2 linked regions of the Anolis sagrei genome follow. The protein of the gene in region 1 interacts with the protein of each later gene in a pairwise test. Links are inferred from orthologs where the notes say so. Each region holds a gene or a part of one and is shown on either strand. Other genes may lie near its edges.

Region 1 (6,883 bases):
GACATTTATATACCACCCTTCTATTGTATTATAAATATATAATACAGTAATTATACTATTACTATATTTACTGTATTATATATTTTATATACTATTTTATTTATAGCAAATATATTACTATAATTACTGTATTATATATTTTATTTACTATTTTATTTTATTATTGTTTTATTGATTATATTACATTATATTATTATTTTATTTATTATTTTATTTTATTTATTATTATATTTATTATTGTATATTCTATTATAAATTTACTTATTCTATATTATAATTTTATTTATTATATTACATAATTATTTTATTTACTATTGCATTTTATTGTTTTATTGATTATATTATATTACATTATTGTTTTATTTACTATTATTTTATTTTATTTTTATTTATGACTATTTTATATTTATTAAAATACATAATTATTTTAATTTTTTTATTTTTATTATATTTGTTATTGTATACTATTATAATGTTATTCTATTCTAATTTTATTATATTATAGAATTATTTTGTTTAATGTTGTATTTTATTGTTTAATTGATTACATTATATTATTGTTTTACTTACTATTATTATATTATAGTATTATAATATATTATACTATTATTATATTATATATTATTTTATTTATTATTCGATATTTATTAAAATACATAATTATTTTAATATTTTACTTTATTATTATTGCATTCTTATAGATTTACTTATTCTATTATATTATAGTTTTATTTATTATATTATATAATTACTTTATTTACTATCGTATTTATTGTTTTATTGATTATATTACATTATATTATACATTATTGTTTTATTTACTATTATTTTATTATTATATTTACTATTGTATTTATTTATTATATTATAGAATTATTTTAATTAGTATTTTATTACTTTATTTATCATATACTACACTATAAAATAATTATTTCATTTTTTATTTTATGATTATTTTATATTTATTAAAACCCATAATTATTTTAATATTATATTTATTATAGTATTCTTTTATAAATTTACTTATTTTATTATATTATCATTTTATTTAGTATGTTATAAAATTATTTCATTTACTATTGTATTTTATCTTTATGTATTATATTATTCTTTTATATTATATTTATATTATATATATTTATATACTATTATTCTTTTATTTTATTTATTTTATTTATTATTTTATTTATTAGATTATAATTATTTTAATTAATATTTTATTACTTTATTGATCGTATATTACATTCTGAAATAATCATTTCGTTTATTATTTTATTTTCTATTTTATTTATGATTATTTTATACTTATTAAAATAATCATTTTAACATTTTATTTATTATTGTATTCTATTCTATTGAGTCGCCTGTTAAGGGCTGAAAAATACGGTATAGAAATAAAGCAAATAATAATAATAATAATAAAAATTATAAATTATAAATTTACTTATTTTATTCTATTATAATTTTATTTATTATATTATAGAATTATTTTATTTACCGTTGTATTGTATTTTTTATATATTATATTATAGAATTATTTTATTTACTATTGTATTTTATTGTTTTATATATTATATTATAGAATTATTTTATTTACTATTGTATTTTATGGTTTTATCCTATATTATGTTATTATTTTATTTATTATTTCATTTTATATTTTTTTTCTATTGTTGTGATGGACTGGGTGTATATCCTTAGACCATACTTACTCTCAGGGACACAATAGCCATCCGCCTGGGAGGGATTCAGATCCCAGCGCCAGGACTCCCTGCTGACAGACCATCCTGGATGCCAATGGGATTGGCCAGCTCAAGGGATGGGCGCCGCTGCTCACCTCTGGAACCCATCCATCAATCACCCCCTTGGCCCCGCCCACCGCCTTGTAACCCCGCCCACGGAATGGGCGTCGCTTTTCACCTCTGGAGCCAGCCCGTCAATCACACCCTTTGGCCCCGCCCCTCGCCTTGTAGCCCCGCCCACGAGATGGGCGCCGCGGCTCACCTCTGGAGCCGACCCGTCAATCACGCCCTTTGGCCCCGCCCCTCGCCTTGTAGGCCCGCCCACGAGATGGGCGCCGCTGCTCACCTCTGGAACCAACCCGTCAATCACACCCCATTGGCCCCGCCCACCGCCTTGTAGCCCCGCCCACGGGATGGGCGCCGCTATTCACCTCTGGAACCAACCCGTCAATCACCCCCTTGGCCCCGCCCACCACCTTGTAGCCCCGCCCACGAGATGGGCGCCGCTGTTCAACTCTGGAGCCAACCCGTCAATCACACCCCTTGGCCCCGCCCACCGCATTGTAGCCCCGCCCACAAGATGGGCGCCGCTATTCACCTCAGGAACCAACCCGTCAATCACACCCCCTTGGCCCCGCCCACCGCCTCGTAGCCCCGCCCACGGGATGGGCGCTGCTGTTCACCTCAGGAAGCAACCCGTCAATCACACCCCCTTGGCCCCGCCCACCGCTTTATAGTCCCGCCCACGAGATGGGCGCCGCTATTCACCTCAGGAACCAACCCGTCAATCACACCCCCTTGGCCCCGCCCACCGCCTCGTAGCCCCGCCCACGAGATGGGCGCCGCTATTCACCTCAGGAACCAACCCGTCAATCACAACCCCTTGGCCCCGCCCACCACTTTATAGTCCCGCCAACGAGATGGGCGCCGCTATTCACCTCTGGAACCAACCCGTCAATCACACCCCTTGGCCCCGCCCACCGCCTTGTAGCCCCGCCCCTCACTCACGCCACTCGTCCTCGTTGTCCTGGTTCCGGCGCAGCACGGGCAGGCGGCAGCCCTCGGTGACTTCCTCCTGCAACGGAGACCCATGTGGAGCCGGCAGCGTTTCCCACCGTTTTCCCCTTCCCTTTCCCTTTCCAAAAAATCCCTTCTGGTTTCCTCACTTACCACCTCCGCCATCTTGGACCCTCGCCGTTCGTCAGGGCCTTCTTTTCCGGCATCGACGGGAACTACTTCCGGGAGGAGAGAATCCACTTCCGCCAGGCGCCATTTTCTTTGTTGTTGTTCTTCTAGGTTCCTACTTCTCCCTCGCGCCCTTTCCGGGTTTGCATAAGTCCCGCCCCCTTTTGGTTCCAGATTTGCATAAAGGGGGCGGGGCGAGAGAGAGAGACCCAAAGGCGGCGGCGACAGGGGGAAGTGGGCGGGGCCTTCCCAGCAGCACTTCGGACGGAGCCATTCCGCCCCGCGACGCCTCCCTCAGGCTTCCGGCTCCCGGCGGGCAGGCAGGCAGGCGAGCCCCAGGCTTCGGCTAGGCCCAGGCCCCGACCCGGAAGAGCTCTGCGGCCCCGCGGGAGGGAGGGTGGGCTGACTTCGCCGCCGCTCGGGAAGGCCTTCAGGCCCGCCTTCGCTCCTCGGGCCTCCTCCCCCGGGCCATGGGGGACCCCCTCGCCCAGATGCAGGGCGGGTTCAGCAGCACAACCATGGACGGTGAGTAGGGGGCTCCTCTCCTCCTCTAGGCTCAGGGGAGGGGGCTCCAAAGGCTCCCTTCTGACATAAAGGCACCACCAAAGCCCTCCAGACAGATGGACATCCAGCCTCTATTTCAAAAAACCTCAGGAGAAGGAGACTCCATCAGTCTCTGGCCTCCTTCTGCCATAAAGACAGATGGCCATCCAGCCTCTGCTTTGAAAAACCTTCCTTAGAAGGGGACCATCAAGTCCAACCCCTTTCTGCCAAGACACCATCAAAGCCCTCCCGACAGATGGCCGTCCAGCCTCTTTCTTAAAAATCTCAGTCTCTACCTCTTTCTGCCATAAAGACACCATCAAAGCCCTCCCGACAGATGGACGTCCAGCCTCTGTTTTAAAAAACCTCAGGAGGAGAGTTCACCCGTCTCTAGCCTCCTTCTGCCATAAGGACACAATTAAAGCCCTCCCGACAGATGGACGTCCAGCCTCTACTTTGAAAAACCTTCCAGAGAAGGGGGCCATCAAGTCCAAACCCCTTCTGCCATAAAGACACAATTAAAGCCCTCCCGACAGATGGAGGTCCAGCCTCTGCTTTTAAAAACCTCAGGAGAAGGAGACTCCACCAATCTGTGGCCTCCTTCTGCCATTAAGACACAATTAAAGCCCTCCCGAGAGATGGCCGTCCAGCCTCTGTTTTAAAAAAATCTCAGGAGAAGGAGACTCCATCTGTCTCTAGCCTCCTTCTGCTATAAGGACACAATTAAAGCCCTCCCGACAGATGGACGTCCAGCCTCTGCTTTGAAAAACCTCAGGAGAAGGAGACTCCACCCGTCTGTAGCCTCCTTCTGCCATTAAGACACAATTAAAGCCCTCCCAACAGATGGCCATCCAGCCTCTGCTTTGAAAAACCTCAGGAGAAGGAGACTCCACCCGTCTGTAGCCTCCTTCTGCCATTAAGACACAATTAAAGCCCTCCCGACAGATGGACGTCCAGCCTTTGTTTTAAAAAACCTCAGGAGAAGGAGACTCCACCAGTCTCTATCCTCCTTCTGCTATAAGGACACAATTAAAGCCCTCCCGACAGATGGACGTCCAGCCTCTGCTTTGAAAAACCTCAGGAGAAGGAGACTCCACCAGTCTCTGGCCCCCTTCTGCCATTAAGACACAATTAAAGCCCTCCCGACAGATGGACGTCCAGCCTCTGCTTTGAAAAACCTCCGGAGAAGGAGACTCCACCAGTCCCTGGCCCCCTTCTGCCATTAAGACACAATTAAAGCCCTCCCGACAGATGGACGTCCAGCCTCTGCTTTGAAAAACCTCAGGAGAAGGAGACTCCACCAGTCCCTGGCCCCCTTCTGTCATTAAGACACAATTAAAGCCCTCCCGACAGATGGACGTCCAGCCTCTGCTTTGAAAAACCTCCGGAGAAGGAGACTCCACCAGTCTCTGGCCCCCTTCTGCCATTAAGACACAATTAAAGCCCTTCCGACAGTTGGATGTCCAGCCTTTGCTTTAAAAAAACTTTTAGAGAAGGGGACCATCCAGTTCAACCCCTCTGCCAAGACACCATCAAAGCCCTCCCGACAGATGGCCATCCAGCCTCTGCTTTAAAAAAACTTTGGGAAGTAGACTCCACCAGTCTCCAAGACAGTTTATATTCCACTGGAGAACCCCAAAGGCCATCCAGTCCTGTCCCCTTCTGCCAGAAAAACACCATCAAAGCCCCTTGAAAGATGGCCATCCAGCTTCTACTTTTAAAAACTTCTAGAGAAGAGGACCATTCTGTCCAACCCCTTCTGCAAAGATACCATTAAAGCCCTCCCAGCAGATGGCCATCCAGCCTCTGCTTTAAAAAACTTTGGGAAGGAGACTTCACCAGTCTCCAAGGCAGCCCATACTCCACTGGACAACCCCAAAGGTCACCCAGTCCAGCCTCCTTCTGCCGTAAAGAAAGACACCATCGAAGCCCTCCCGACAGACTGCCATCCAACCTCTGCTTCAAACATACTTCAAGAGAAGGAGGCTCCGCCTATCTCCAAGGCAGTTTATATTCCACTGGAGAACCCCAAAGGCCATCCATTCCTGTCCCTTTCTGCCATAGAGACACCATCAAAGCCCTCCTGACAGACAGCTATCCAGCCTCTGCTTTAAAAAATATTGAGGAGATGCCACCAGTCTCCAAGGCAATTCATATTCCACTGGAGAACCCCAAAGACCTGCCATTCCAGCCCCCTTCTGCCATAATGAAAGACACAATCAAAGCCCTCCTGATAGATGGCCATCCAGCCTCTGCATATAAGCCTCCAGAGAAGAAGACTCCATCATCATCGCTGATGAAGATGATGATCATGATTATTATTTTTATTGATTTACAGAATTGAAAGCGACCCCCTCTATTGCCATCCAATCCAACCCTTTCCAACCAAGATACCATACATAAAAAGCCCTCCCGATAGATGGTCATCCAACCTCTGCTTGCAAACCTCCAGACTCCATCATCATAGCCAATTTTTATGATTGTGATTATGATTATTGATTCATAGACTTGAAAGCAACCCCTTTATTGTATATACTTTTTTCTTTGTCTATGTAATTTTGATGATGTTGTTTGTTGTTTATAACACCAAAACATAAACATCATCAAAATTACCATCCAATCCAACCCTTTCCAACCAAGATACCATAAAAAGCCTTCTCAATAAATGGTCATCCAACCTCTGCTTGCAAACCTCCAGAATCCATCATCATAGCCAATTTTTATGATTGTGAATGCTTTCTTACGAGGTGTTAGCTGGCCTTGATTGTTTCCTGTCTGGAATTGTTTCATGTTTCATGTGGGAGTTCTTTCTCCCACCCTGGACATCATTCCACAGATATATAAACCCCACTTGCCTAGTTTCCAACAGGCTTTACAACCTTTGAGGATGCTTGCGATAGATGCAGGCAAAACATCAGGAGAGAATGCTTCTAGAACATGGCCAGGCAGCTGGGAAAACTCACAGCAACCTGTAACTCTTGCCTTTTTGAGGCAAGTGTGAATGTTGCAATTGCCCACCTTGTTTAGCATTGAATGGCCTTGTAGCTTCAAAGCCTGGCTGCTTCCTGCCTGGGGGAATCTTTTCTTAAGAGGTGTTAGCTGGCCGTGATTGTTTCCTTTCTGGAATTGATTCATGTGGGAGTTCTTTCTCCCACCCTGGACATCGTTCCACAGATATATAAACTTTGTTTGCCTAGTTTCCAACAGACCTTACACAACCTTTGAGGTTGCTTGCCATAGATGCAGGCGAAACATCAGGAGAGAATGCTTCTAGAACATGGTCATATAGCCCAAAAAACATACTATGCTTTTTCCCTTATTTTATTTTATTTTGTTGACCAGGGAATACTTTGACCAGGGACCGCTCTCCAACATTAGTACCAAAAGGGTTACGAATCAGTTTTTGGTCAACT
Region 2 (7,909 bases), on another chromosome or scaffold:
AAAACACAGTGCTACCTTTGCAAAGTATACATAATACAGTGAAAGTAACACAGGTGTCCATAAAAGTCTCTTTACCATATCAATTGGAGCCCCCAGTGGTGCAGTGGGTTAAACCCTTGTGCCAGCAAGACTGCTGACTAAAAAGTCAGCAGTTCAAATCTGAGGAGCATGGTGAGCTCCTGTCTGTCAGTGCCTGCTTCTCATGCAGGGACGTAAGAGAAACCTCCCACAGGATGGTAAAACATCCGGGCATCCCTTGGACAACATCCTTGCAGATGGCCAATTCCCTCACACCAGAAGCGACTTGCGTTTCTCAAGTCGCTCTTGACACACACAAAAACCAACATTTCACTCATTTATTTATTTATTTATTTGCGGCATTTATATGCCACCCTTCTCACCCTGATGGGGACTCAGAGCAGCTTACAAATAAAAAGTAAATACAATATATTATTATTATCATAGCACAATATTAATATTATATATTACATTGTACTATAACATTATACTGTAATATTATTAGTAATATTACATTTAATATAAAATATTTAATTATAATATCATTTTATTATTAGTAGTAGTAGTAGTATATTGTATTACATTATAATATTATAAATATTATATTATATTATATTATATTATATTATATTATATTATATTATATTATATTATATTATATGCACAGTGCAGGAGACAAGATGGAACTGCCTTCCTGGCCCCTCTCTTCATTCTGATCTCAGAGTAGCAGTTGGTGCTGGGGGGCTCCCAACTGATGATATTACTTATAATTATTATTATTAACTTTATTTGTACCCCACTAGCATCTCCCGAAGGACTCGATGCGGCTTACAAAGGCCAAGGCCTCAAAACATAGCATAGCAAATACACAACTCAAAGCAAATCAAAACAATTAAAGCAATATCAAAAACAACAGAGCAATAAAACAATACATCAAAACACAATAAAACTGGGGCCGGGCCAAAAGTAATGGGTACAGATTAAAAGTGCTGATGTGACAGGTGGCTTGTCAGATTTTAAAATAAGTGCAGTGTGCAAGCACTGCACTTATAATCACTTCACAATTACTTATCGTGTCAAAAGCAAATTGTGGAGAGAGTTATAATGTATAAAATACCACAATGTTAAAAACGTGGCATTGTACTAAATTTCCTTTGACTAGAAGCTGACCACTTGGAGTGCCTTTATATATTTATTATACTTATTTACGGCATTTATATGCCGCCCCCTCCCCCCGAAAGGGACTCAGAGCGTCTTACAATATATATTTTCATACAATATATTATATTATTAGCATAGTACAATATCAGTATTATATATTACTATATTGCACTATACCATTATATTGTAATATTAGTAGTAATATTACATGTAATGTAAATATATAATTCTAATTATAATATTGTATTATTATTACTAGTATTGTATTGTATTACATTATAATATTACAAATATTATATGTATATACAATATGCTATATTATATTTTGGTGTTGCTGTCGTCCATTGTGCATGTGGTGGGGCTCAGACTGCATTGTTGTCAGTGGTCTGTGGTCTGCTCCTCTCTACACTCGCATGTCGTGGACTCCACTTGATACTCCCATTTCTTTTAAGTTCCATTAAGTACATGTCTGCTTTAAAGGGGATTATATGAGTCTGCACTGCCAGATAATCTGGGATAAGCAGGAAGCCTGGGCTCAGATCCTGGAAAATAGGGCCTGTATGGAAGCCTAAACAGGGGGTGGACTAGATGGCCCACGTGGTCTCTCTCTCCAACTCTATTATTCAATTATTCTAAGTTTGGTTTGTCCACATTGTCTTTTAACTCCTGTATCTTAATATGTATATCAAGTCAAGAAGGCTTTAAGGTGTAGCGTATTATGGTTCAGGTCCAGGCTATTAACTAATCGTATCTCCACATGTGAACCAACACAGGCACTGTGGTCCCAACTGTTTCAAGCACAACTTGGTGTGGATGAGAGAGAGGACCTTCTCCATGACCACACCCTCCCTCTGGAACTCCCTCTCACTCCTCTCCTTTAAGAAGCAATTAAAAACATACTTTTACACATTGTCCTTTGGAGAGGAAGATGATTAGCTTTTATTGCTTTTATCATGCCTCACGATGCTGACAAAGATTATATTACCTTATTAGAGAGCCATGTTCTCAAATGTATCTATTTTTATATTTTTATACCTATTTTATCAGACTATTGTGTTATCTATGAGGTTGATCGACTACATGTTTTGATCTAGATTGTTTTATTGGCTTATTTTTAAACTGTTTGTTTCTGTTTTATCTCTATTTCTATCACTGCACATGGCATTGAACGTTTGCCATCTTTGTCTTTGGAAGATGAGTAGAGTCCCCTCGGGGAGAAAGGGCAGGTTAAAAATAAAGTATTATTATTGTGTTGTCGAAGGCTTTCATGGCTGGAATCAATGGGTTACTATGGGTTTCTTGGGCTGTATGGCCATGTTCCTGAAGCATTCTCTCCTGATGTTTCACCCACATCTATGGCAGGCATCCTCAGAGGTTGAGGTGTCTGTTGGAAACCTGGCAAGTGCAGATTATATATCTGTGGAATGTCCAGGGTGGGAGAAAGAACTCTGGGTCCCCAAAAGGCCTGATGGCCAAGGTGCTGAACCCACTGGAGAAACTGGGATCAGCCCAGTTTCTCCAATACCAAGTTCCCACAAAGTAAACCCAAAGTTGATGTGCAGCTCATGGATGGCCCCCTTCTGTTGGAGAGAGAGCTACCTTTGCAAGCTGAACCCTCTGGTGGTTGTTGCTGAGAGCTGACTTCCTGTTTCCATGTTTGTTTACACCCTCCTCTTCCTGGGCCCTGAATACACTCCTGTTATTCTCTCTGTGTCTGCACAGTGTTTGGCCCACTTGACCTTTCCTTTCTGACAATTTGCCATTGAGGAAATAGGATGGGAAAGTGGCAGTACTTCGTGCCTCCTTGGAACTGTGGAGAAATCTATTTCTCTTTCACTTACCTTAAGAAGCTGAACCTGAGTGAGATTATGCATAAACTGTGAGCAAACAGCTTTTAAAACTGGGTTGCTGTGAGTTTTCTGGGCTGTATGGCCATATTCCAGAAGCATTTTCTCCTGATGTTTCACCCACATCTATGGCAGGCATCCTCAGATATTGACAAGCTGGAATGTGTCCAGAGGAGGGCAACTAAAATGTTCAAGTGTCTGGAGAACAAGCCCTATGAGGAGCAGCTTAAAGAGTTTTGCATGTTTAGCCTGAAGAAGAGAAGGCTTAGAGGAGACATGATAGCCATGTATAAATACGCAAGAGGAAGTCATAGGGAGGAGGGAGCAAGCTTGTTTTCTGCTGCCCTGGAGACTAGGATGCGGAACAATGGCTTCAAACTACAAGAAAGGAGATTCCATCTGAACATTAGGAAGAACTTCCTGACTGTGAGAGCTGTTCAGCAGTGGAACTCTCTGCCCTGGAGTGTGGTAGAGGCTCCTTCCTTGGAAGCTTTTAAACAGAGGCTGGATGGTCATCTGTCGGGGGTGCTTTGAATGCAATTTTCCTGCTTCTTGGGAGAATGGGATTGGACTGGATGGCCCATGAGGTCTCTTCCAACTCTAGGATTCTAAGGTCTGTTGGAACTAGGAAAATGGGGTTATCTGTGGAATAATGTCCAGGGTGGGAGAAAGAACTCTTGTCTGTTTAAGACAAGTGTGCATGTTGCAACTGGCCAGCCTGATTAGCACTGAATGGCCTTGCAGTTTCAAAGCCTGGTTGCTTCCTGCTTGGGGGATCCTTTGTTGGGAGGTGTTAGCTGGCCCCGATTGATCCTGACTGTGAGAGCCATTCAGCAGTGGAACTCTCTGCCCTGGAGTGTGGCGGAGGCTCCTTCTTTGGAAGCTTTTAACTAGAGGCTGGATGGCCATCTCTCAGGGGTGATTTGAATGAAATTTTCCTGCTTCTTGGCAGGGAGTTGGACTGGATGGCCCATGAGGTCTCTTCCAACTCTTTAATTCTGTTATTCCTGTCTGGAATTCCTGTTTTCAGGGTGCTGTTCTTTATTTACTGTCCTGATTTTAGAACTTTTTCAATACTGGTAGCCAGATTTTGTTCATTTTCATGATTCCTTCCTTTCTGTTGAAACTGTCCACATGAATTTGGATTTCTATGGCTTCTCTATATATTCTGATATGGTAGTTAGTAGAGTGTTCCAGCATTTCTGTGTTCTCAAATAATATGCTGTGTCCAGGTTGGTTCATCAGGTGCTCTGCTATGGCTGACTTCTCTGGTTGAATTAGTCTGAATTAATAATAATAATATGGGCATGGCCGGGTAAAATGTATAGGTATTTTGGCGAATAGGTAGGGCATGCGGACAGACCTAAATCTCCAGTAAAGTGGATTTGGGACAAAGTGCTTGTGGTTTCCTATTCTGGAAAGGCACACTGGAACAACCACGTTTTCAAGCTCCTCCTAAAGACTGCTAACATCAGGGCCTGCCTGATATCCTTGGGGAGTGAGTTCCAGAGTCGAGGGGCCACCACAGAGAAGTCCCTGTCCCTTGTCCCCACCAATTAGTATTATTATATACCACGGGGTATAGAACTAGGCCTCTTTTTAAGAACCACTCTCAAGCAAAGAGAGGCTACATTTTTCCGGCATCATCCCGCGGGCCAGGGGATGATGGGAGTGGCGATGCGTCAAAAAGGCCCCGCCGGGTCCAGACTCACCTGCGATGCTTCTCTCTTCCTTCGCGCGAATCTGTGACGCACTCCTTCCGCGCCTACGCGCTGAGAGTGGGCGGGGCGGAGATAAGCCGGGCGGCGATTGGGCGGCGCTGCGGCCAATGAGAGGAGCGGGGTGGTTACCATGGCGACGCCGAGACGCGGAAGCAGAGCTGGGAGCCGCCATGGCTGCAGTGGAGCCGGAGCTAAACATTGGGGAAGGTTTGCTGGCGCTGGCCACGTTGCTCTCTGCCCCACCGGAGGGTCCCCAGGAGGAGGAGGAGGGGGAGGCCTCTTCCTCGCCGGGAAGGAGCCTGGGTCCCGGGCACATTGGGGCCCCAAAGGCGGAGGTGGGGCCCACAGGTGAGTTCCTCAGGGCTAGGCCATCATTCAAGCCGATCCCTAGCAGAAATCACGAATACAGGCAGTCCCCGAGTTACAGACATCTGACTTGCAAATGACTCATAGTTCAGGACGGGGTAACACAACAGAAATGGGAAGAAATGTATTCCTAGGAAGGGAAATTTATTTATTTATTTATTTCATTGGTATACCGCAGTTTCTCAGCCCGTAGGCGACTCAACGCGGTTAACAACAGGAGCAAAAATTCAATGCAACATCATACAAACCATTTAAAAACAATTAACACAATAATATACTAAGTAATCACACACTCATGAAATAGTTTATTTACTTACTTATTTACTTACGACATTTATATGCCGCCCTTCTTACCCCGAAGGGGACTCAGAGCGGCTTACAAGATATATATTGTCCCACCCTGGTCATTCCACAGATATATAAAGCCTTTTTCCTACTTCCAACAGACCTCACTACCTCTGAGGACCAGAACACAACAAGTAACTTGAAATGGTGTTTATTGTTGACAATAAGTTCACTTTCCTAGGCACAAACTTGATGTTTCAACAGGGAAAATCACTTTATAAACCTAGGAGTTGTAAGATGAGAAGCTTTTCCTGTTCCCTCTCTCAAACCACAACCCCAGTTCAGTGGCCTAAGTTGAAGGACAAGACCTTCCTATGGTACCAAAGAACCGGAATGAAGGCGCCTGAGATCTTCACAATTCCATTCAGGGCGGTCTGAAAACAAAGAATAAGACTCTGGGGTAAAAACCTAAGAGTTGAGGATGCTTGCCATAGATGCAGGCGAAACAGCAGGAGAGAATGCCTTTAGACCATGGCCATATAGCCCGAAAAAACCTACAACAACCCAGTGATTCTGGGCACTAAAGCCTTCGACAATACAATCTGTTGTTGTTCATTTGTTCAGTCGTTTCCGACTCTTTGTGACCTCATGGACCAGCCCACAACGTCACCACCCCCAGCTCCTTCAAGGTCAATCCAGTCACTTCAAGGCTACCATCCATCCATCTTGCCCTTGGTTGGCCCCTCTTCCTTTTTCCTTCCATTTTCCCCAGCATCATTGTCTTCTCTGAGGTTTCCTGTCTTCTCATTTTGTGGCCAAAGTACTTCATCTTGGCGTCAAATATCCTTCCCTCCAATGAGCAGTCAAGCTTTATTTCTTGAAGTATGGACAGGCACAATTGGTGGGGATGAGAGAGAGAGCCTTTTCGGTGGTGGCCCCTCAACTCTGGAACTCACTCCCTAAGGATATCAGGCAGGCCCCAACCCTGGCAGTTTTCAGGAGGAGCTTGAAGACGTGGTTGTTCCAGTGTGCCTTCCCGGATTAACGATCCCATAGCACTTTGTCCCTTTAAAGCACTTTACATTTTTTAGGTCTGCTCATATGTCTCTCCACAAATGCCACTATCACCTTTTCGTCCATGTTTAGCACTATTTCCAATTTTAATTTTACATTTGGCCTTCCCATAGTTTTAATTGTATGTTGTCTTATTGATAATGTTATATGTTTATGTTTTATTTTAATTGCTTGTATTGTTGTGTTCGGGCTCGGCCTCATGTAAGCCGCACCGAGTCCCTTGGGGAGATGGTAGCGGGGTACAAATAAAGTGTTATTATTAATATTATTATTATTGGATCTTCTCACTGTCCAAGGCACTCTCAGAATTTTTCTCCAGCAACAAAGTTCCAAAGCATCTGTCTTCCTTCACTCAGTCTTCCCTATGGTCCAGCTCTCACATCCATAGGTGACTATGGGGAATACCATTGCTTTAACTATGCGGATCTTCATTGCCAGTGTGATATCTCTACTCTTCACTATTTTATCGAAAATTGACATTGCTCTCCTCCCAAGAAGTAAGCGTCTCCTGATTTCCTGGCTGCAGTCTGAGTCTGCAGTTATATTTGCACCTAGAAATGCAAAGTCTGTCACTGCCTGTACATTTCCCCCCTGTATTTCCCAGTTGTCAATCATTCTTGTTGCCATAATCTTGGTTTTTTTTTTTTTTGTTTTACTGCAACTCAGCTTTTGCGCTTTCTCCTTTCACCTTGATTAGAAGGCTCCTCAGCTCCTCCTCACTTTCAGCCATCAAAGTTGTGTCATCTGCATATCTAAGGTTGTTAATGTTTCTTCCAGCAATTTTCACCCCAGCCTTGCATTCGTCAAGCCCCGCACATTGCATGATGTGTTCTGCATACAAGTTGAATAGGTTGGGTGAGAGTATACAAGCCTGCCGTATGCCTTTCCCAATCTTGAACCCGTCTGTTGTTCCATGGTCAGTTCTGACTGTTGCTACTTGGTCCTTATACAGATTCTTCAGGAGAGAGACAAGGTGATTTGGTATGCCCATACCACCAAGAACTTGCCACAATTTATTATGATCCACACAGTCAAAGGCTTTAAAATAGTCAATAAAACATAAATAGATGTTTTTCTGAAACTCCCTGCCTTTCTCCATTATCCAGTGGATATTGGCAATTTGGTCTCCTGTTCCTCTGCCTTTTCTAAACCCAGCTTGTACATCTGGCAACTCTCGCTTCATGTATTGCTGGAGTCTTCATTGCAGGGTCTTGAGCATTACCTTTCTGACAGTAGAAATAAGGGCCACTGTACGGAAGTTTGAGCATTCTTTAGCATTTCCCTTTTTTGGTATGGGGATATAAGTTGATTTTTTTCCAGTCTGATGGCCATTCTTGTGTTTTCCATATTTGCTGGCATATGGCATGCATCACCTTGACAGCATGCTCTTTCAAGATTTTAAACAGTTCAGCTGGGATCCCGTCATCTCCTGCTGCC

What was found. The genes of interacting proteins can lie anywhere in the genome.
Region 2: the proteins of KAT5 (region 1) and DNAAF6 interact in binary tests that used the Homo sapiens proteins (3 or more experiments, as listed by UniProt). The two-hybrid records come from large-scale screens. The link is inferred for Anolis sagrei from reciprocal best matches to the Homo sapiens genes KAT5 and DNAAF6.

Annotation. Positions count from the first base shown.
Region 1 is NC_090032.1:9,830,615-9,837,497, reverse strand, and holds the start of KAT5 (histone acetyltransferase KAT5), read right to left. Parts: upstream 3,024-6,883; 5' UTR 2,925-3,023; coding exon 2,913-2,924; intron 2,818-2,912; coding exon 2,751-2,817; intron 1-2,750. Other genes in the region: RELA (transcription factor p65), read left to right, coding at 3,398-3,452. UniProt on the Homo sapiens protein: Catalytic subunit of the NuA4 histone acetyltransferase complex, a multiprotein complex involved in transcriptional activation of select genes principally by acetylation of nucleosomal histones H2A and H4.
Region 2 is NC_090030.1:19,941,978-19,949,886, forward strand, and holds the start of DNAAF6 (dynein axonemal assembly factor 6), read left to right. Parts: upstream 1-4,893; 5' UTR 4,894-4,917; coding exon 4,918-5,095; intron 5,096-7,909. UniProt on the Homo sapiens protein: Plays a role in cytoplasmic pre-assembly of axonemal dynein.